Notamacropus eugenii: one gene and its partners. The protein of the gene in region 1 purifies or fractionates together with the protein of each later gene. This does not show direct contact. Links are inferred from orthologs where the notes say so. Each region holds a gene or a part of one and is shown in the gene's direction. Other genes may lie near its edges.

Evidence for each region.
Region 2: the proteins of PPP2R2B (region 1) and IER5 purify together in Homo sapiens (affinity purification with mass spectrometry; 4 studies listed by BioGRID and IntAct, with this or other methods). This does not show direct contact. The link is inferred for Notamacropus eugenii from reciprocal best matches to the Homo sapiens genes PPP2R2B and IER5.
Region 3: the proteins of PPP2R2B (region 1) and PPP2CB purify together in Homo sapiens (affinity purification with mass spectrometry; 5 studies listed by BioGRID and IntAct, with this or other methods). This does not show direct contact. The link is inferred for Notamacropus eugenii from reciprocal best matches to the Homo sapiens genes PPP2R2B and PPP2CB.

The regions. Positions count from the first base shown.
Region 1 is NC_092872.1:376,146,299-376,153,301, reverse strand, and holds the start of PPP2R2B (serine/threonine-protein phosphatase 2A 55 kDa regulatory subunit B beta isoform), read left to right. Parts: upstream 1-3,988; 5' UTR 3,989-4,197; coding exon 4,198-4,276; intron 4,277-7,003. UniProt on the Homo sapiens protein: The B regulatory subunit might modulate substrate selectivity and catalytic activity, and might also direct the localization of the catalytic enzyme to a particular subcellular compartment.
Region 2 is NC_092873.1:464,456,367-464,463,396, reverse strand, and holds IER5 (immediate early response gene 5 protein), read left to right. Parts: upstream 1-4,523; 5' UTR 4,524-4,832; coding exon 4,833-5,702; 3' UTR 5,703-6,507; downstream 6,508-7,030. UniProt on the Homo sapiens protein: Plays a role as a transcription factor. Mediates positive transcriptional regulation of several chaperone genes during the heat shock response in a HSF1-dependent manner. Mediates negative transcriptional regulation of CDC25B expression.
Region 3 is NC_092878.1:167,231,752-167,238,884, forward strand, and holds the start of PPP2CB (serine/threonine-protein phosphatase 2A catalytic subunit beta isoform), read left to right. Parts: upstream 1-4,110; 5' UTR 4,111-4,195; coding exon 4,196-4,297; intron 4,298-7,133.

The DNA.
Region 1 (7,003 bases):
TACACTGCACCACCTAGCTGCCCAAGCCCTCCCTAACCATTTTGTATTTAACTATCTTGTTTTCATCTGTACTATAGTTACTCTGTATATATTTAAATGTGTATTTGATGCTTTCTCCATTTGAACAGAAGATCCTTAAGAGGAGGCAAGGTTTCATTCCTTATATTTGTAACCTTAGTACCTGGTATGTAGAAGGCAGTTAATAAGTGCTTGTTTTTTGATTGTTGATTGAATGAAGAATACTGAGCTCCCCCCCACCCCCAATAGATTTGGAATGTTGTGATATCATTCATAAATACATATGTGCATCAGAGAGGTATAAGCAAAATGTTATTTGACTCAGAAAAGAGTCAAGGTCATCGCTGTGTAGGGAGACCAAGAAGTCTTCTGAGTTGGAAATGCTGAGTTGGAAATTATTTCTTAAAGTCTTCCTCATCACATAGTAAATAACTTTTGGCAGTGGAGAGGGCCATAGAAGAAATTCTACCTGGGTCCCATGATGCTTCACATGGATCACTGATCCCCCATGCTCTGGGGTGATTACAGTCCTGCCTTGGGGTTTGGAGAGATTTTTTTTCAGATGAAGGCAGGGAAAACCAGGTACTTTAGAAGTGGTTCTCCTAGGATTTAGATATAGGCTATATCTGGCTTTTTGTTTCACGTTGAGGTAATAATAGTCTTAGCTAGATTACAAGGATATGTCTATTTATAGCAGTAAGGCATCAGTGGAGATTCATTCATAGAAGCCCAATGAACAGGGCAATTAGAGGGTACTACAGGGATCAACAAACTAAAGCCCACAATTTTACAGAAGAGGAAATTGAGATTCATACCATTCATTTGGCAGATATTTCTTGACTGCCCTGCTCTCTGAGAACTTATTAGCTCATTGGGGAGATAAAAAGAGCTCACGGGAAGTAGTTAACTAAGTACATTAGGCTGGAGGTAAAGTGCTCAAATGAGTTATCCAGACAATAACCTTTAAAACTTGAGAGGAGAGAGGAGGCAGTTTGGTTCTGGAGGGTACTGGATATGAAGCAAAAGGCATCAGGCTTCAATGCTAACTCTCTACCTTACCATTTGAGATGGGGGTGTGGTGGGTGGAGAACTTGCAGCCCCTAGGACAATGTGGCCCTCTAGGTCCTCAAGTGTGGCCCTTTGAGTCCAAGTTTTAAAGAACAAATCCTTTTATTAAGGGGTTTGTTGTGTGAAGTTTGGATTCAATCCAAAGGCCACACTTGGGGACCTAGAGGGTCACATGTCACCTTGAAGCTGCAGATTCCCCAATCCTGCATGAATCAGAGCAAGTCTCTTAATGCTTCTGGATCTAAGCTTTCCCATCTGTATAATAAAGAAGGTTGAAGAACATGATTTCTTCTAACTGTAAATTATATGATTCTAAATAATTGGAGAAAGAGGTAACAGAAAGCAGGCTGCTAGAGTGAGTTTTGGTAACTTTGTTTGATTGCAAAGGTTGAAGATTGTTCATCAGTTACTGAGGCGTAATCCTCCTTGGTTCAACCATCATTTTATTTTCTCATCTCATGAAATACTTTGTTTTATAATCCTAATGCATTAATCATGTAACGGTCTGCATTAGAGTTATTTGTTTCAGTCTTATTCTCCTAGTAGACTATGATCTCCGTGAGGACAAGGATAAAGTTTTATCTAAACTTTGTATATATGTTCTGTACATAGATCTGGAAAAAAAGGCTGGTGATCTGGGCCTTGTCCCAGGGCACTAAATTTGGGGAGTGCTGACACAGAAGCATAGAAACAAGAGAGATTAGCAAGGATAATTAAAATCAGAAGATGCATTATGTCAAGCTACAGCAAGTGTGTACTCTGTTCTGCCCATGTCCTCTGCTATCCCTATGGCCTTCCAGCATGCTACTTGCCCCAGGCCTAGTTTGAGGTATTTGACCTGGGAGCAAAAATTCCCACTTTCTCTCTGAAGACAGTGGGTTTTTTAAAAAACATATCTGTTGCTAAAACTAGTTTTCATATTCTGAATATATTATCAGGGAAATATTAGTGTGTGTTTTTCTCCAGTGAATTTGTGATTTTCCATGAAGCCAAGCCAGATCATCTAGACAAAGAAGATTGGAAGTATATGCACCTCTCTACTTTAGAAATAACCCTCCAAATGCCCCAGTCTCATTAGAATGAACCAGCAATTCAGTTTCCATGGCTAGGCTCTCTCTTCAGGGAATATTGGTCATGAGATAGATTGTTTTCCCACTGAATTGATTTGTTGCCTCACTAAATTGAATCAACTGGTTGTTTGACATCATACAGACATAAGTGGAAGGTGAGGGTCAGGAGCAAAGCAAAGAGTTGCCTTGTGACCACACTGGCTGGAACAACAGTGACCTGCCCTCTGATGTAATCTAACATATTCCCCCAATGATAAATTTTTTAAAAAAGTCTTAAAAGTCATTAAAAAGCTGAAAGTCATAAACTCTTGAAATTGTTTCTTTAAAGCATGTTTGCATTAAGTCTTCTAAAAATCGCACTGTTTGAAGAGTTTTGCTGGTACTTAAAATTTGCCGTTGGTGTTTGTTATATAGGACTTTGGAGAGTTTTATTTTCTCTTTATCTCCATGTAGAATGATGTATTTCCATCTTCTTTTCTTGAATGAAGTATGAGACAGTTAATAATGAGATGATGACAGTTAGTACATCTTGTGATGTTTCTTTGGACCCTGCCAGGCTTAGGGTAAGAGTTGCTAAACAGAGGGGCTGGAGGCAGGGCACGGGTTAGGATCACAAACAAGCATGAATCAATATCTGAGGATCATATATTTCATGAGGCAAGAGAAGGATGTAGCCTTGGGGTCAGGCAGATAGTTCAAAACTGGGAGAACAAGTAGAATTGGGGTTTATGAGATAACAAGACTAACTGGTATTTACTAGACTAATTTTATGCTTTGGTTTGAGAAGCCAGCCCCTGCCCTCTGTCCTCAGCAGCAGTGGTCATCTCTAACCAGTCTTGGCTTAGGCAAAAGGGGAGCTCTGCATTTGCTTTGGCATAATGTTTCTAACCTCATCACTTTGTTCTGAGTAGGGGGGCGGGGACACTTCAATTTTCCTTGCTCTGATTTAGTTAGTTTGAGTACCCTATGGATGAAGAATTCAACTTTTATACCTTAGGAGATGGTCTTTGGGAGTTGGCTATGGTCAAAACTTTTCACACGACTATAATGTAGTAGGCATTTTCTCCTTTTACTCTAGCCTTGTCAGATTTTCATTCAGGAGTATATTGTTCCATAACTGACCTGACCCCAATCCTTTCACCTATGTGAAGATCCATGTATATGTTGAGGAACAGGCAGCTCATTTGAATTCAACCTCTACTATTCTTATACTGTGGCTTTAAACAGCAATCCACTCTGAGCTGAAGTTGCTTCTCTTGTGTGAGTGCTGGCAGGAAGCAAAAAAAATTTTAAAAAAGCAAGCACACAGTTGTGGAACACAAAATCTGTCAGTGTTAGTCCCCTGTCACCGATTCCTCAACCTTGTTATGTTCTGGTTCACCTAAGTGATAAATAGCCCCTTTGTTCTCCTTTTGGTATTAGAAAGAAGGAGAATAAGACCAAGAAGAAAGAATCCGATCTAGATTAAGCAGGGACAGAGACCCATTTCATTGCACAGTACTTTAATATTCCTGAGATCCCTGGCATGACAGGGCTACTTTCTTAGCAGCAGGCTCTCCCTGGAGCAGGGCTGTGTGCTGCCTTTGTTTCATCTGATCTTCTAGCTGAATAAGAGATGGTCATTTATCCTCACTGCTCCTGTATCCTGCTGGATTTCTATTTCTGAAAGAGAAACTGACCAGGAGAAGGAAAAAGGTGGAAGCTGATTTTGGACAGTGTTGTTCAGTGTGTGTTTACAGGCAGGACTGACTTACTCAGCAAATCCTGCACTGATGAGCTCCAGCCAATGAAGTGCTTATATCCCGGCTTGCTTGGGGGCTTCTGAGTTTGAGCTGCATGCAGAAATGTAAGCAGCTCTTCCTGGTGCTGATGGCAAAATGGGGTCCACGGCCAGTTCTTCCTCAGGCTTCCTGGCTTTGCAGATCTGGGAGAGATCCTACATAAACCTATCGGTGATGTAGCCTGCCTGGAAAGCCAAAAGAATCCTCATGGATTCAGGAAACTGGTTTTTGATTTAGAATTATTTTTTTTTTTCTGGAAGATGAAATGCTTTTCTCGTTACCTGCCTTACATCTTCCGACCTCCGAACACCATCCTCTCTTCCAGCTGCCACACAGAAGGTACCGACCAGAGAGGGCGGGTATCTGGGAGGGTGGAAAGCAAGTGGGATGGGTGTATGACTTCCCCCAAAGCTCTGCTGACACTGCCTTTCACAGATTCTAGATGACTGCTGTTCTTGGCAAAAGCTCGCTGGTGACAGACTTCGATTTGCTTGTAAGATCAGCCTGACTGCCTTCTAGATAGAGATTCTTCCCTCAAGGAAAGACTTTTTTAAAAAAAGCATGATTATGTCAAAAAGGTGATTCCTGACATGGATGGGAAAAACATTCTAGAATGTTTCTGCCGGTTCTCATTTGATCACACTTAGCATGCAAACAAGTCATCAAAACTGGTGTCAAGACAGATTTTCACTAGATTCTGCCAGGCACGTTTTCTTAGGCTCTCAAGTTTGTCACTGTCTGTGTAATAACTTGGGGCATGCCCAAGACAGCAATTAGCCAAATAGATTTGGGCTTTTGACGTAACGGTATAGTGCTTGTTGGGCGTTGGAGTTGTTCACTTGGTCTATACTTATGTGGCGCGCTGAAAAGGTCAGAGCCGACTTTCTGCACTTGCTTGAATGCTATTTTCATAGGAACTGAAGTTAATGCTTTTAGAGACCATCATACCTAAACTTTACATTGCTTTGTAATATAGCTAGGTCCAGATTAGTGCAGATAACAAATCCCCTGAAGTGACCGAATTATTTATTATTTATGGCTCTAAGGGAATGTCTCCAAAACTGCTTTCTAGTCTAGCATGGATCTTGTATATATGTGTATACGTAGTGTGTGTGTGTGTGTGTGTGTGTGTACTCTAAACATTTTTTAAAAATCTCCATCTCCTGAGCACTGTAGGTTTCAGCATTCCCATTGTAACTGTTTGTCTACTTGTCTCTTATGCACCACTGGCATCAGATTGGTCTGTTTGTTCTCTTTCTGCTACTCCTGAAAAAAGAAGGATTTTGAGAACTCTCACTAGTGAATCACCTGGCATTCTGTCAGCCAGTATAATCAGTGCCTGGTATAGCTATGGGCTTAGAAGAGAGAGCCCCAAAGAGTCAGTGTGGTCTCAAGAAAAGTAGTGCCAGGACTGAACTGCAAAATCAGTATTTATGGAAAACTTGCAGATGACATTCCTCCCTATTATAAAGGAAGAAGCCTGGGCATAAGGCTGTGTATTTTCAATGGGAGAGGAATGAAATATAAGGGACAGTGCAGCCAAGCTCTTTTCCATCAGAACTTCCAGGGAAATGTCACAGAAGACAGGGATGACTGTTAGCTTGCCAGTGATCTTGACTTTAAAATCTATATGTAAGTATGTGTATATATATATATTTATGTATATATATATATAGAGAGAGAAATATCATTTTATTTTTTAATCTCCTGCTCTCTCTATCATCTTCTTTTGATGGCTAAGAGAAGTAACCCCTCTATAGTAGGGAGACACAACTCATAGGTTGGGTCTGTAAGATTCCCAAAGAAGCAGTCAGCTGTTATATACAATCAGTTTCCACTTCCCATCAACTTTAGTTCTACAATAGTTCTCACATTCCTTCACTTCTGCCTGTTCTGACTATCCTACTCTGATATAGAACTTCTTTCCCACCCTTGTGGGACTAATATAACAAATCTCCTTGCTTCTACTCTCATTTCCCTCCAGTTCATCCTTAATTCCACTAACAGAATAATCTTTCTCATGAACAGATCTAGTCATTCAGTCATTCAACAAACATTTATTAAATACTTGTTTTGTACAAAGTCAGAATAGTCATGATACTCCTTTGCTTAAGACCCTGATATAGCTCTCTATTGACTCTGAAACAAAATTTAGAGTAACCTTTCATTCAATACCCTCTGCAATTAGGTTATCTTATCTTGCCGATCTTTTCTCATGTTACTCCCCTTCACATATTTTAGGCTCAAGCTGAACAGGGTTACTGAAATCTACCTTAATGTGCCACACCCCCATTTTCTCTTGTGCTTTTGCTCGTGTTGTTCCCTGTGTCTGGAATATCCTCATCTTCATCCCTGCCCTGCTATTCTCTACCTGTTGAATTCCTTTAAAGGAATTAAAACCCACCCTTTAAAGTTCAACTCAAATATTACCCCTTCTGTAAAACCTTCCCCAATTCCCTCAATTGGTAATGTCCTTGTCCTCTCAGATCTCTCATAGTGAGTGATCTGTTTGCATCCCTCTTACAATCATATATAATTTTCTATCATGGTAACATATTTGTGCTATACTCCTACTATACTATCCACTCCATGAGGGGAGAGACCATTTTTAATATTTCTTTGTAATATAACTAGGTCTTATAAATTAAAAAATCCCCTGAAGTGGCTGAATTATTCAAATTTGAGCTGCCTGTCTGGAACCAATTATCATGTTTTACAAAATTATGACTTCAAGCAATGTGAATTCGGATAAATGTGATCATATCAGGGGATTATTGTTCACACTAATCGGGACCTAGCTGTACTTCCTAAGTTCATAGATTTACCGTTGAGCCCAGTCAACTCATTTTATAAACGAGGAAAGTGAAGGCAAAAGAGATGAAGTAATTTGTCAGAGATCCTGCAGATAGGAACTGATGGTGCTGGGATTGGGATCTATGTTTACCAATAACAGAGCTGTGAACTTTCCAACAGACCATTCTCCGTGATCTGCTATAGGTATTTAAGAACCGTTTGGATAACTGAGTTGAATTCAATAGGAAAAAAAAATATCCGTCAAACTGATTT
Region 2 (7,030 bases), on another chromosome or scaffold:
AATTAAGTTTGAAAAGGACCATCAGCTGAGTCATAGGTTATTAAAGTTTCGATTATGTTTTCAGTCCTTTTTTTACGAGCCATAATCTCATCAGACCTTCACAACAACCCTATATGGCAGGGTAAGGTTTATCATTATCACTTGACAGATGAGGAAACTGAAGTTAAGAGAACTTAAAGTCTCCTTTCTAATAATAATAAAAGTACAAGAAGTGGTGGAGCCACATCTGCGACCCCCAGGGTCTGACAAAGTCTGAGTTTCACTTCATGAGGTAATAACGATTGATGAAACTAAAATAATAACAATAATAATCACTAGCATTTACATAGCACCTTAAAGGTTGCAAAATGCTTTACAAATATTATTTTATCCTCACAACCCTGGGAGGTAGGTGCAATAAAAATAATTGGACTTTTTATTTCCTAGTCACTTCGTTTCATAAGATTTCCAATTGTTCTATAAACACCAGAATCCTGACAAAATAGTACCAAGAACTGATACTAGCATTTATTTACAATATACATTTACAGCCAGGGATAACATTTGTTAGACTGCTTAAACAAAATACTAAGCGCAAGATGTTAGTGCTTTTGTGTACATGGATTGAAGTAATGAGGATGGATCCTAGAATTTCATATCCACTTAGTTTATGTTGCTTGTTTAGATAGGCTGTGCTGAACAAAAAACAACTTGTCTCGTGAATTAAACTTGTTTATAAGGGCTATATTATTTAGAATTGGAGAAGGGAAGAATTTGGTAGTGATATAAAGATTTATAGGTTGCCTCTTAATAAGGTGTTAATATTCAGTGAAACACTTAGCACATCATTGGCACTCTATAAATGTTTAATTGGTAAAGAACAGGAAAGCAATTACTATTTTTTTTAACAAAATGTTTCACAAATAGACTTTGGAAAAGAAGTCAAAATATACTACATATCCAAGAAGCAATTTCTATCTTATCTTCTGAGGCTGTTTGAATAAAGTTCAAGTGACATAATTTCTGGGCAATTGATAATTTTATTAATAATGCTAGCATTTTATTAATAAAACTGGTCAGTGGCACTCTTGAATGCCAAAGATAATCATGGCTGGCTTTGGGCTCACAGTTTATATGCCCTTGGAAGAGAGAGTGTTCCTGAGGGTAGCTATCAATTCTGATTGGTTAACAATTAATGAGAGAATGAATATTACAATGAGAAGTGGGCTTACTCCAATGAGGGGCTTTGAGAATGGCAAAGAGACTACACCTCCATTATGTCAGCTGAGTCCCACAAACACCTAGTGAGATAGATCTTATCATCACTCTGATTTTGCAGAGATGTTAAATGACTTGAGGCAGCTAGGTGGTGTAATGGATCAGAAGACCTGAGTTCAAATCCAGCCTCAGACCCTTACTAGCTGGGTGACCCTGGGCAAGTCATCTTAACCCCTATTTGCTTCAGTTCACCTATAAAGTAGGAATACACAGGAGAAGGAAATGGTACACTAATATCTTTGCCAAGAAAACTCTATAACCTTCGTTCATAGGATCATGTAGAGTCCAACTGTGACTCAACAACAACAAAGAAATCACCTACCCACTGTCAAACAGCTGAGTGGCTCAGCTAAGGTGATTGAGACAGGATTTAAACCCAGCCTGGAGTCCATTATGCAATAATGCTGCCTCCCTTCCCATGGTTTCTGAAACTTTCCTATCTGTCATTCCTTATGGAGCAATAATATTCCATTGCATTCATGTGTGGAATTTGTTCAGCCACCATTCGTTACGTTCTCATTCTGTTGCTTGGACCTACTCAGTTCAGGAATATCATATGGTACTCAATTTTAACTGTTTAGAAAAGTGCTCCTTTACTGAGGGTCACTTTCTTCTTCGAAAACGAAGAAAGAGCAGATATCTGTTAGAAAGAAGCAATCTATGGCACCTTTACAAAGTAACTCAGAGTAGGAAACAGCTTAGACACAACTGTTTATAGGTAGTTTAAAAAGGGAAGTGGAGACTGAAGAAAATGCATGAGTAGTTTAAGAAAGGAAGGAGTTTTGGGTCCTCCTAAAAACCTTGAGCCAGCTCTGTTTTATAAATACAGTTTGAAGAGAAGGAATCCTTCAGTAGCAGAGCAGTTAGCAGGGGAAAGAGGTTAAAAATTGGGAAAGATAGCAATGGAAAAAAGTGATTCAGAAAAGGTGGGTGGGTGGAGGGGGAGAAGACAGGATAAAAAAACTGTCTGGGTTTATTTCCTCTTAAAGCTATTGTTACTTTCCCACAACCCTTGCTCCTTATCATTTTTTAAAATAATATTGGGTCTAAAAGGTTAATTTTCCTCAGAAGGGAAAGAATAATTATTTTTAAATAGTATTCATTTTTTCTCCAAAGATTCTAAAACCATGTATTTAGAACTGAAACTGACCTTTAAAGTCATCTAATCCAAGTCTTCTTCCCCCTCCATTAATTTTAAAGATGAGGAAACAGGTTCAAAGTAATGAATGACTGACCACAAGTCACACAGCATGTAAATCAGGATTTAAATCCAGTACCTGGGGCATCAAATTTAACATTCTCCCTATTGTTATTTTGAGATCTCTATTCATTTCCCACCCAGAAAGCACCCATTTGGAATTCCTTTGACTTTTCCAGTTTACCTACACCGCCCTTCCTGCTCCTCGCTAGACTGTAAACTTCTTGAGGGCAGATTGCATCTTTCTTTTTCAAATACCGTATTCCCAGGATGAAGCGCCGTGCAGGGTACATGTTTATTGACTATTAAAACACAAGGACTATCTCAATTCAATTCTGGACAATTCTGTGTATAGAGTAGTTATCACTGTGTCTTATTAATAGGATCCCTGCATTAGAGCCAGTAGAGATTACCCTGGAGGTCATCTAACACAATCCCTCCATTTTACAGATGTGGATGCGTCCAATTTACACCCTTACTAGAACCGCAAAGAAGAATCCAATAACGACGTATCTTGTTTTATTAAATATGTCATGGGCATGTGGAGGCAGAGGAATTGGATTCGAATTCTAGCTTTATGGATTACTACCTGTGACTCTTCAAGTGCTAAACCTTAGGAGCTCTATGTGTGTTCCTGAAACGTTTCCTGTAAAGAAAAATCTTAAAATTATATTTTGTATGCACTTTGAGGAGAAGCTATTTGAAGAGAAACCGTGGGGATATGTTTTTGGAAAGAAAGCAAACGGCTCCTTAATTTAAATGTTTTCTAAGTCTGGATTTTTGGTATTTTGGCTTTTCTTAAACAAAGGCAGATCTATATCTTGAAAAGACATCGTATTGTGTTTCAAACAGTTCAAAACACTTCCATTCATGTATTTACTTAACACCTTCCCCAACTATATACATATATATATATGCACACACTATCTATCTATCTATCCGTCTATCTATATACACACACACACGTATATGGAAGCTATTTAAATAGCTCCGTTTTTTTAAAAGTAAGATTAAGTGTGCTGAATGGATGTGCCTCCAGGCACCTCCAAACCAAGCTGGAGGACAGCTCCCCGGCACCTCGGGAGATCTCCCGCCGGGAGGATTCCGGGCTGGGGGCCGCAGGGCCTCGCCCCGCCGGGGGCTCCGCCGCCCGGCCACACGGGCTGCGGACCGAGGACCAGCACAACTAGCAGGCGGCGCCGCCGGCAGCCCCGCAGGAGAAGCCCCCCGAAGCCGCGTTCGTCCCCTGGCTGCCGGGGCGGGCCCTCGCGGGGCACGCGGCGTCTGCAGCCGGAGCAGCGCTGGAGGCCGGCAGGTGAGGGGCCCGTTAACAGCCCGTGCGGTCGGGTTCCCACGCCTCAGCCCGGCTACGAAACCTCCTTAGCCAAGTCTCTTAAAGTGGAGGCGGGGCCGGGGGGGAGGGGAAAAGGGTGGAGGGAGAGGGAAAGGGCGTGTGTCCGCGTACCGTGGGGGGAGGGGCGCGGTCGGGAAGCGATCCTGGCTCTTCCTTTAGAGTGGGAAAGGACCTCCGAGGCTCTGGCGCCTGCTCCCTCCTGTACGGACGGGGAAACTGAGGTCCAGGGAGGCTTAAGCGACTGCCGGGGAGCCAGGATCCGAGCCCGGGCTTCTCGGCCTCCGACGCTCTTTTTACCGGCCCCGGAGCTCCCTCTGAAGGGCACTCACTCGCCGCTGGGGTGTCTCTGGGGTGGGGGATGGGGAGTCGGGGTGGCCGCGGCCGGGGAGCCACCGTTAGGAGGGCCAGCTTCGGCTTCGGGAATCCAGCCGTGTCCAGTACGCACCTGAACGCCCTGCCCACCGCACGAACAGCCGAACAAAGGGCTTTCCCCCGCCTCCTCCGGGAACGCCCGAGCGCCCCGAGAGGTGACACCTCGGGGACTTGGCCGGCTCGTTCCCCTCCCCCCTCGAGCACCGCTTCCTCTTCCTCGCTGTTTCCCCCTTTAAGAGAGGGCTCCGCGGGACTAACGTTCGAATCTGCCCTGTCTCCGGCCCGCGGCCTCTGATTGGCTGAGAGGGGCGCACGAGGGAGCGCGAGCTCTCCCCGAACCGGTCGGAACGGTCGCTAGTCTCTCCTGATTGGCTGGCGTGAGAGGACTATATAAAGCCGCCGGGTCGCCCGTCTCCGCTCAGTTAGCGGCGGGACTGGTTGCCAAGCTCCCGTGTGCTCCGTCGCGGCCGTGAGAAAGGGGTCAGAGCTCGCGTCGCCGTGGTCCCGGTTGTTTGTTCGCTCGCTTTGGGCCGAGGGAGGAGCTGACGCGTCTCCGCCTCCGGCCCCACACCCTGCCCGCGGACGGGACGAGGGGGTAGCCGCCCGTGAATCGGCCGCCCTCGAGCTGCGGAGGCGCCTGAGCGAGGGACGATGGAGTTCAAGCTGGAAGCTCACCGCATCGTCAGCATCTCCCTGGGCAAGATCTACAACTCGAGGGTTCAGCGCGGCGGCATCAAGCTCCACAAGAACCTGCTGGTGTCGTTGGTACTTCGCAGCGCCCGCCAGGTCTACCTGAGCGACCCCTGCCTGGGCGGCCCCGGGCCGGGCGCGCTCGCGCCGCCGCCGCCGCAGCTTCCCGGGGGGCCGGCCCCGGGCTGGGGAGAGCCGCTCCCCAGGGACAGCAGCATGGAGCAGGACCCGGAGCCCGCCCCCGAGCCCCTCGGGGAGCGCCCGCCCGAGGGGTCGCCGCCGCCCCGAGCCGAGGCGGGGCCCGAAGCCCCGAGGCGCCGCGTGGAGGAGGCGGAGAGCGGCGGCGGCGGGGAAGGCGTCCCGGAGGGGCCGCCGCGGGCGCGGCTCTGCTGCTGCCGCCGCCTCCCCGGCTCCTCGCGCGGCGCCCCGCGGGCCGACTGCTCCTGCCACCCGCGCCCGGACGAGGGGGCCCCGCCACCGCCCGTCTGCCCCCGGAAAAGGAGCGCCTCGGGGGCGGGGGGCGGCCCCGGGGGGTGCTTGGCTTCGGGCGGCTCGCCCGTGAAGAAACCCCGCAGGGACTCGGAGGAACAGCCGGGCGAGGAGGAGGAGATGGAGACCGGTAACGTGGCCAGCCTCATCACCATCTTCGGGTCCAGCTTCTCCGGACTCTTGCGCAAAAGCCCCGGGGGCGGCCGGGAGGACGAGGACGGCGAGGAGGAGGAGCAGCAGCCGCCGCGCGGTCCGGAAGCGGCGGAGCCCGGGCCCATGTACTGCGACAAGCCGGTGTTAAGAAACCTCAACCCCTGGAGCACTGCCATCGTGGCCTTCTGATCGCCCGGGGCCCGGGCGGGGGCGGGGGCGCCCGGGGAGAGACTGAGGCGGTGCCGCCCCGAGCCGGGCCCCGCCCCCGGCCCGCCGCCCCGCCCCCTCGGAGCCGGCTGGGCAGCGGGACCTGCCCGGGGGCGAGCCGCGAGCGGACTGTGCCCGCGCCGCCGGGCCCCTGGGCGCCGGGGGGGCTTGTGTTATAAAGTGTTTTTGTAAGTTGATTGTTGAAGTAAGGCTTTCTTGTCACCGGGATTCCGGGCTGGGGCTCGAGACGCTGGGGGCGGGCGGGGGCGGCGCGGAGCCGGGACTTTCCTGCAGGGGCGGCGAGGAGGAAGCAGCGCGGCCGGGCCGGGAGCTGGGGGAAGGGACTCGGCGAGCCCCCCCACGACCGGCCCCGCGCGGGCCTCGTGGGCGCCCTGCGCAGCCCGGAGCGCGGTCCTGGGGGGAGGGACAATTCTTGTTGACAGACTCTGAGGTCTCCCCCCTTCAGAAAGCTTGGTGAGCTTCCTAGAAGAGATCAAGCTTGAAATACTGAGTTTATAAGGAAATATATATATAAACATATATATATTTTAAAAGCTCTAGGTCAGAATTATTACACAGTGCTTTTAAAAAGTGTTTAATGAAAAAGTTTACAGATGCCCTAATGGAAAGGCCTCGTGGCTTTAGTAGATGTGATTACTCCCGTCTTTGTTGTATAAAGGCTGGGGGCTTGTAGAGTTTTTGTACAGTATTTTCTTCGTGTATTGACATTTTTTTTGTATAAAATGTAACTTTACGTGTCTGACACGTATTAAATATTTTGAAGCAACCTCACTGTCTCCTTTTCTGTAATCACCCGCTTGGGATTGGGAGGAGCGAGAAAAGGACCGTGGTCCCACCGACCAGGGTGATATTGTTGAAATAAAATATATTTACGGCCGAGTACGGAATAGACCAAACTGGGGCAGCTATTCAATAGATGAGAAACACCAACGTATGATTCCAGGTTGGAATCATATTCTTTGAAGTTTCCTGTAACCCAGTCTGAAGGGGGTATGGCGGTCCTTTGCCTGTAGGATTTCCCATGAGCACTGTTTTATCCTTTCCACTAAAATGTCTTTACCAGTACTTTGAAGTAGAATAAATAGGTTTATGGAAAAACTACACAGCCAGTTGTAATGTAGCTCCTGAGAATTAGTTGACAATCTGTTGCCATGTCTAAATTAACTTAAAAAAATTTGTGTTTAGCCGTGCCAGTGTTGGAACCTTTTCAGTTCATGAGACAATTGACATCTTTCCTGTCTTGGGAATGTGAGGAAGGTCACTCAGAAGTTTACCTACCTGTCTGTTTT
Region 3 (7,133 bases), on another chromosome or scaffold:
ATGCCAGGGCCCTCCCTCCCTAGTGCATCACATTTAACCACCTTTATTTGTTAAATAATAATAAGATTTATGTATTACTTGCAAAGAGCTGAACATTCATGACCTCATTTGATCCTCTGTGCAAACAAAGTGGCTTCCAGGGTCACGTGGGTAATATGTATCAGAGGCTAGATTGGAACTTGGGGCTTCCTAGCTTTGAAGACAGCTTTCTGTCCCCTGTACTCTGCTGCCTCTATACCTCCACCATAGGTTGTGAATAAGTCATTTTGGAGCATTATGCAGATTTGGTCATGGATGAAGGCAGCTCACTCCCTGCTTTGATTGGCCAAAAGAATCACACATACCTGTCAGCCTATGTATAAAAACAGTGGTCTTTCTATTGGGGGACCAAGCTAGCAGTGGTAGGCTCTAAGTTCAGGAACTAAGAATTCCATCTTGAGAGTTGGAGCTAAGTCCAACTGAAAGGGAATTGCTATTGGAAAGGGGGGAGGGGGCAAAGTTTCTCTCTTGTCTCTTCCAATTGACCATGTCATCAGAAAGATTGGACCAATAACATCAACTATCTCTAGCTGAGATTGAAGAGATGACCTGAAATCAGTAGGAAACAACACTTCCCAAAGAAGGAAGGACAGATGGATGTGGAAAGACCGAAGAGGCTGGCTGTGAACTTAAGAAAGGACTTTGGGGCCACAGAGCACAAGAAGGATGAATTAATTGTGACTACCCTTGTAGTCTAAGTTTGAGTCCATCCTTCTTATGGCCTTGTATGTATTTGTGGGAGAGGGTACCCCAGGTTTTTGGAGGTGGGGACTATATTTTGCCAGCCTTTCTTACTAAACTCTGAGTAAATACATTTTCTAAAAGCTAATTAAGTCTGTTGGCCAATTGTTAAAAGGAAGCACCCCACCAGGGGCTCGTGAGTGGCACTGTTAGAAGGATAGCCCCTTGGGGTTACTCTTAGATCCTTAAGAGAAGTAGTGGCCAGTCTCATGCCTTCTAATCCGTTTAATTCATTTCAACTCAAATATTTTTTGAAGCACCTACTGTGTGTCAGTTTGACAAGAAATCCTCATGGACAGCATTGGTGTACTAGGGTCCTCGGAGTGAGGAAGAATCCAACACGACTGAACAACAACAGTGTGTCAGGAGTTGTCCCAGACTAGAGATTTGAAGATAAAAATGCAATGGTCTCTGCCATAAAGAAACTTACATTCTACAGGGGAAAGCTTAGACAGTACACAGGTAAGATTAGATAGATATGTACACCTATGTGTGTATATGCACATATGTACAATGAAAAGTAACATTGGGGTGAGAGCACTGGCATCTCTTCCCAGAAGTACAAGGAAGGACTCCTATGGGAGGTAGCCCCTGAGATGAGCTTTGAAATTGACTCAGAATTGTGGGAAGTGTCAGATTTCTTGATGTGCATAGAACGTCTTGTGCAAAGATATGGAGGGAAGGCATTGGTTGGCGTGTAGGGGAAACAGCAAGCAACACGATTTGGCTTGAGCAGAGTTCGTATGGGGGAATAATGGGTGATCAGTCTAGAAAGAAAGCCTAGGCAGTTTTCAGAAAAAAAAATCCAAGCTATTTATAGCCATGTGAAAGAAGGCTCTAAATCATGAATAACTGGAGAAATATAAATTAAAACAACTCTAAGGTTCTACCTCTTACCTTCCAGACTGACAAAGTAACAAATAAAGGAAAATAAATGCTGGAGGGGCTGTGAGAAAACAGGTACATTGATGCATGTTGGAGCTGTGACATGAGCAAGTCATTTTGGAAAACCATTTGGAATTATGGCCCCAAAGCTACTAAACTGTGCCTGCTGCCCTCTGTAAACCCAGAAAGACATCAAGGAAAGAGGAAAAGGACCCCTAGGTACTAACAGTTTGTATATAGCACCTCTTCTTGCGATGGCAAAGAAGTGAATATCTATCTGTTGGGGAACAGCAGACAAGTTATGCTGTATAAATATAATGGAATGCCTCTTTACCTAAGAAGTTATGAAGACAGTTCCAGACACATGGGAAGTCCTTTGGTCTTAAATGAACCGATGCATAGGGAAATCCGTAGAACCAGGAGAAAAATGCAGACAATGACATCAAACCACTTGGAAAACCTCAGATGAACCCAAGGACCAACCATCACTGCAAAGGCTCATGGGTGGCACCTTGGATCTGCTCTAGCTCCCCTATCTCTTCCTTCTTTGTGGTCAGCAGGGACTGGAGGGAGGGGCTGGCAGGGTCGGGGACTGCGGAGGCTGGGTCACAGGGACCCCTTGAAGGTCTTTGGGCAATGCTTCCTCCAGTCTCCTGGAGGGTTCTTGGGCTAGGACTATCTAGCCGCTGCTTCTCAAATCCTTCTGACCTAGGGACATGATAAGTCGAAATGAAAGCCACTTCCCGGAGAAGTAGTCCATGGCTGGACTTCCGTAACCAAGTCTGCTTACGCAGAAGACCTCGGGAGAGCTGGGTAGTGACCGTTTATCGAAGCAAAAGTCAGTCTAGGGACTCTAGATGCTGCCTTTTCTCTCAGTTGGTAAGACTTAGAGGCAGCTAGATCTTGGAGTCAGGAAAAGTCGGTTTAAATATAGCCTAGAAAAAACCCACTTAATCTTCCTGCCTCAGTTTCCTCATCTGTAAAATGAGGCTGACAGCGCCTGCCTCCAGGGTGACAGAGGCTGCTTAGTATCATCTGCAGACCTCACAGCGTGATACAAAGTTACAATGCGCTGTTACTTTTTAAACAGCTCCCCGACAGCTCCCAGGGCGTCCGTGTGCCCACGCGAGCCTGGTCTCGCCCCTACTGCGCCCCCGGAGAGCTGCCTTGTGGGCGCTTCACCGTGACGCCGGCTCCAATCCTGCAGCGAGGGCAGAAACCCTCGGCGTGTTAAACGTCTACACGCGCTCTGGGTCGGAGGAGCCGCTCTCGGGCGGGATGTGCCGCCGCGTGTTTCCTCCCACGGACCCACGGACCAGACGCGCCTCTCCGCTCCCGAGACCTAGCGGAAGCGCCAGGCTGCGAGAACGGGCACACGAACGCCAGCTTTCCGTGCCCATCTCTACAGCAAACCGAACAAAGCGGAGGGCTCGGACACGGAGTCCGCGCCCTGCCTCCGGAGCCTTCGCCTTTCCGCTTCTCTGTCCAAGGCCGGGCCCCAAGCCGGGGCATCGGGAGAAGCGCAGTCCGGGGCAGGGGGGCGTGGCACCCGGGCCGACCTCCCGGAGCATCTGCGGCTACCTCGGACAGCTCCGGAGAGCGCCCCTGGCGGCAGGCGGCAGTGACCGCGGCTATTGGGGGAGAGACAGAGCGGGGGGCGGGCCCGGAGAACCCGAACCACGCCGATCGGCCCGCCCCTCCTGCGCAGGCCCAGACCCGAGGAGCGGGGTCCCGCGCTCGGAGCGGGACGCGCAGGGTGGGAGAGGGCCTTGGAGTGACTGACGTCAAGGGGCGGCGCCGCGGCGCAAGTCACGCAGTGACGCAGGGGGTCAGCGCCGCGCCGCGCCGTCACCGCCTCCTCCCGCTCCTCCTCCTCCTCCTCCCGGCCGCGTGGTGGTGCTGTGGCCAGCGGTACCGGCTCGTGCTCCCTCCGCCTGCCTTCCCCCTCCCGCCGCTCGCGTGCGGCCCCCTCCCTCGTCTCCTTCCGGCGGAAGTGCCCCGCGGTGACGGGCCCCGACGGGCAGGGAGCGTGAGGAGGGCTGCGGGAGAGGGCGGAGTCGGCCCGGGCGGGCCGTAGGGAGGCAGGCAGGCAGGCAGGCAGGCGGGCCGGTCAGTGGCGCCCCGCCTCCAGCTCGGCCCCGCCCCCAGCTCGGCCCCGCCCCCAGCTCGGCCCCGCCCGTGGGCCCTGGGAGCGGCTGTGCGCGCCGCGGAGGGGGCGGGGCGGCGCGCGCGCGCAGGAGGGGTTGGTGGCCGGCGGGCACGCCCCCGCGCCTCCGTGCGCGGCCCCGTCGCCGCGTCTCTCGCCCGGGCACGCCTGCGCGCCCGCGCCGTCCCGGCTCGCGCCCCCCCTAAGGGCGGGGCGGGGGCGGGGCTCGCGTGGCGTGGCGGGGCTCGACGGCGGGCGGGACCGGCGCCGGGGCGGGGCGGGGGCGGGGCCAGGGCCCGGGCCCGGCGGGGTCCAGCACGAGCCCCCTTGGCCGCCGCCGCCGCAGCCGCCGCCGCCGCTGCCGCCGCCGCCGCTGCCGCCATCATGGAGGACAAGGTGTTCACGAAGGAGCTGGACCAGTGGGTGGAGCAGCTGAACGAGTGCAAGCAGCTGAACGAGAACCAAGTGCGCACGCTCTGTGAGAAGGTGCGGCCGGGCGGGGGAGGGGCGGCCCGAACGAGGAGGGGGAGGGGGAGGGGCGGCCCGGAGGCGGAGGGGGAGGGGCGGCCCGGAGGAGGAGGGGGAGGGGGAGGGGCGGCCCGGAGGAGGAGGGGGAGGGGGAGGGGCGGCCCGGAGGGGAAGGGGGAGGGGGAGGGGCGGCCGGAGGGGGAGGGGGAGGGGGAGGGGAGGCCCGGAGGGGAAGGGGGAGGGGCGGCCCGGAGGAGGAGGGGGAGGGGGAGGGGCGGCCCGGAGGAGGAGGGGGAGGGGGAGGGGCGGCCCGGAGGAGGAGGGGGAGGGGGAGGGGCGGCCCGGAGGGGGAGGGGGAGGGGGAGGGGAGGCCCGGAGGGGGAGGGGGAGGGGGAGGGGAGGCCGGGAGAGGGGGGAGGGGCGGCCCGGAGGAGGAGGGGGAGGGGGAGGGGGAGGGGCGGCCCGGAGGGGGAGGGGGAGGGGGAGGGGAGGCCGGGAGAGGGGGGAGGGGGAGGGGCCGCCCGAAGGAGGAGGGGGAGGGGGAGGGGCGGGGCGGCGCCGTTCTCTCGGGGCCTTCTCTCCCCCCTCCCCGTGTGGGGATGCCCTCCTTGGCGTTGCTTGGCCCCAGCGAGTTGTTTATGTGCGGTCTCCGTCCACGTCACGGCAGCCTTCCCGGATCCCCGCAGCGTCCCTCTGCCTCGCAGAGTGGCTCCTGGCCCGGACCGCTCTGGCTTCTCGGCGGTGTCCAGTGTGACCCCCAAACCGGCCTCCCCGCCCCCTCCGGGTCAGTTGTGGACCCTCGGTGCCCGCCGTCTCCCCCAGACTGGCCACTGGGGCCTCAGTGTTTGCTGAGTGAATGAGTGATCTCGCGGAGCCGCTGGAGGTTTGGAGCAGCCTGGGCACGGGTCCGAGAGCTGCTTGAGGAAGGGTCCCCTGCGCCCGGATGAGCGCCGGGGTCTGTGGGGAGGAGGCCTGTGACCTAGAGTGCCCGGAGCCCAGGTGAGGGCGGGGCGGCTTTGGGGCGAGGAGTGCGTGTGCTGTCAGCCCCGTGCGTGGCCTGGCCTGGTCTTAGGTCTTAGCCCCGTGCGTGGCCTGGTCTTAGGTCTCAGATCCGTGGGTGGCCTGGCCTGGTCTTAGGTCTCAGACCCGTGGGTGGCCTGGCCTGGTCTTAGGTCTCAGACCCGTGCGTGGCCTGGCCTGGTCTTAGGTCTCAGACCCGTGGGTGGCCTGGCCTGGTCTTAGGTCTCAGACCCGTGCGTGGCCTGGCCTGGTCTTAGGTCTCAGACCCGTGGGTGGCCTGGCCTGGTCTTAGGTCTCAGACCCGTGCATGGCCTGGCCTGGTCTCAGACCCATGGGTGGCCTGGCCTTAGGTCTCAGACCCATGCGTGGCCTGGTCTCAGACCCATGGGTGGCCTGGTCTCAGACCCGTGGGTGGCCTGGTCTTAGGTCTCAGACCCGTGCATGGCCTGGTCTGGTCTTAGGTCTCAGACCCGTGCGTGGCCTGGTCTCAGACCCGTGCGTGGCCTGGCCTGGTCTTAGGTCTCAGACCCGTGCATGGCCTGGCCTGGTCTCAGACCCGTGCGTGGCCTGGTCTTAGGTCTCAGACCCGTGCGTGGCCTGGCCTGGTCTCAGACCCGTGCGTGGCCTGGCCTGGTCTCAGACCCGTGCGTGGCCTGGTCTTAGGTCTCAGACCCATGGGTGGCCTGGCCTGGTCTTAGGTCTCAGACCCGTGCGTGGCCTGGTCTTAGGTCTCAGACCCATGGGTGGCCTGGCCTGGTCTTAGGTCTCAGACCCGTGCGTGGCCTGGCCTGGTCTCAGACCCGTGCGTGGCCTGGCCTTAGGTCTCAGACCCATGGGTGGCCTGGTCTCAGACCCGTGGGTCACCTGGCCAGTGGCACTCCCAGGCACCGAAGGAACGGAAGGTCTGGGTTCCCGTCTGGGCTGGTGGTGACTCAGGGACCTTTCCTGGGTCCGGAGTCAGTGAGGAGCACCCCCTGGCTCAGTCCGACCTCCCCTCCCTGCCCCCTCCACGCCGCTTCTTCACGTTTTCCCCTTTCAGTTCCATGTCAGTAGTGTCAGCCTAGCCTGTGAGCCATGCTGAGGGCTCCCTGTAGCCTGACTGGTACTGAGGCCTGAGGCTGACTCCGGCTTTGTGTGCTGTCCTTCACGTCAGTGAGGTTCAATGTTGGGAGGGGTTTTTAACCAGTTCTCTTACCCTTAAACGTACATGGTCAGCTGAGACAAGCAGCTCTGAGACCTTTCTCCCACTGCTGATGGATGCTGGGGTGGCCGTCAGTGGACAGAATGTTTGTTGAACTTTTTAGGCAGATTGTGTGACTTTGGCTTCTCTAATAACCCTCTAATCCTCTTCCTTGATGCCAGCCGCAAGCGGGCTCTGTCTTATACCAGGAACAGTGCAGCCACCCAGAGGAGGATAATCCAAGAAGCTCTCCGCTCCCGTGGCTTGCCTGGGACTGTGCCAGTAGTGGCAGCAATACTAGCTCTCAGGAGGGTGCCAGAATGAAAGTCAGTCTGTCCTTCAGGCCAGCACTGGCAGCAGTGAGGCTACCCTGAGCAGGGGTGTAGCCAGGTAGCCCTGATTTGGCCTGGATTGTTTAGGATGATGACCTGTGGGTGTACCTAGAGGTGGCCTGTCCATCGTAGGATCTTCATTCTCCCTGTCACTAGCCATTACTACCTTGGGATGGACGTCTTGGACAGAGTGGTCTGACATCTCTAATTTAACAGAATTGATATTCCTTTGAGACCTGCTTGCTCTGAACTTCTAGTTCGTTTCCACAGACTTTCTTCAGCTGGGACAGGGCCAGACATCATCTTCCTTCCCATCCACCCC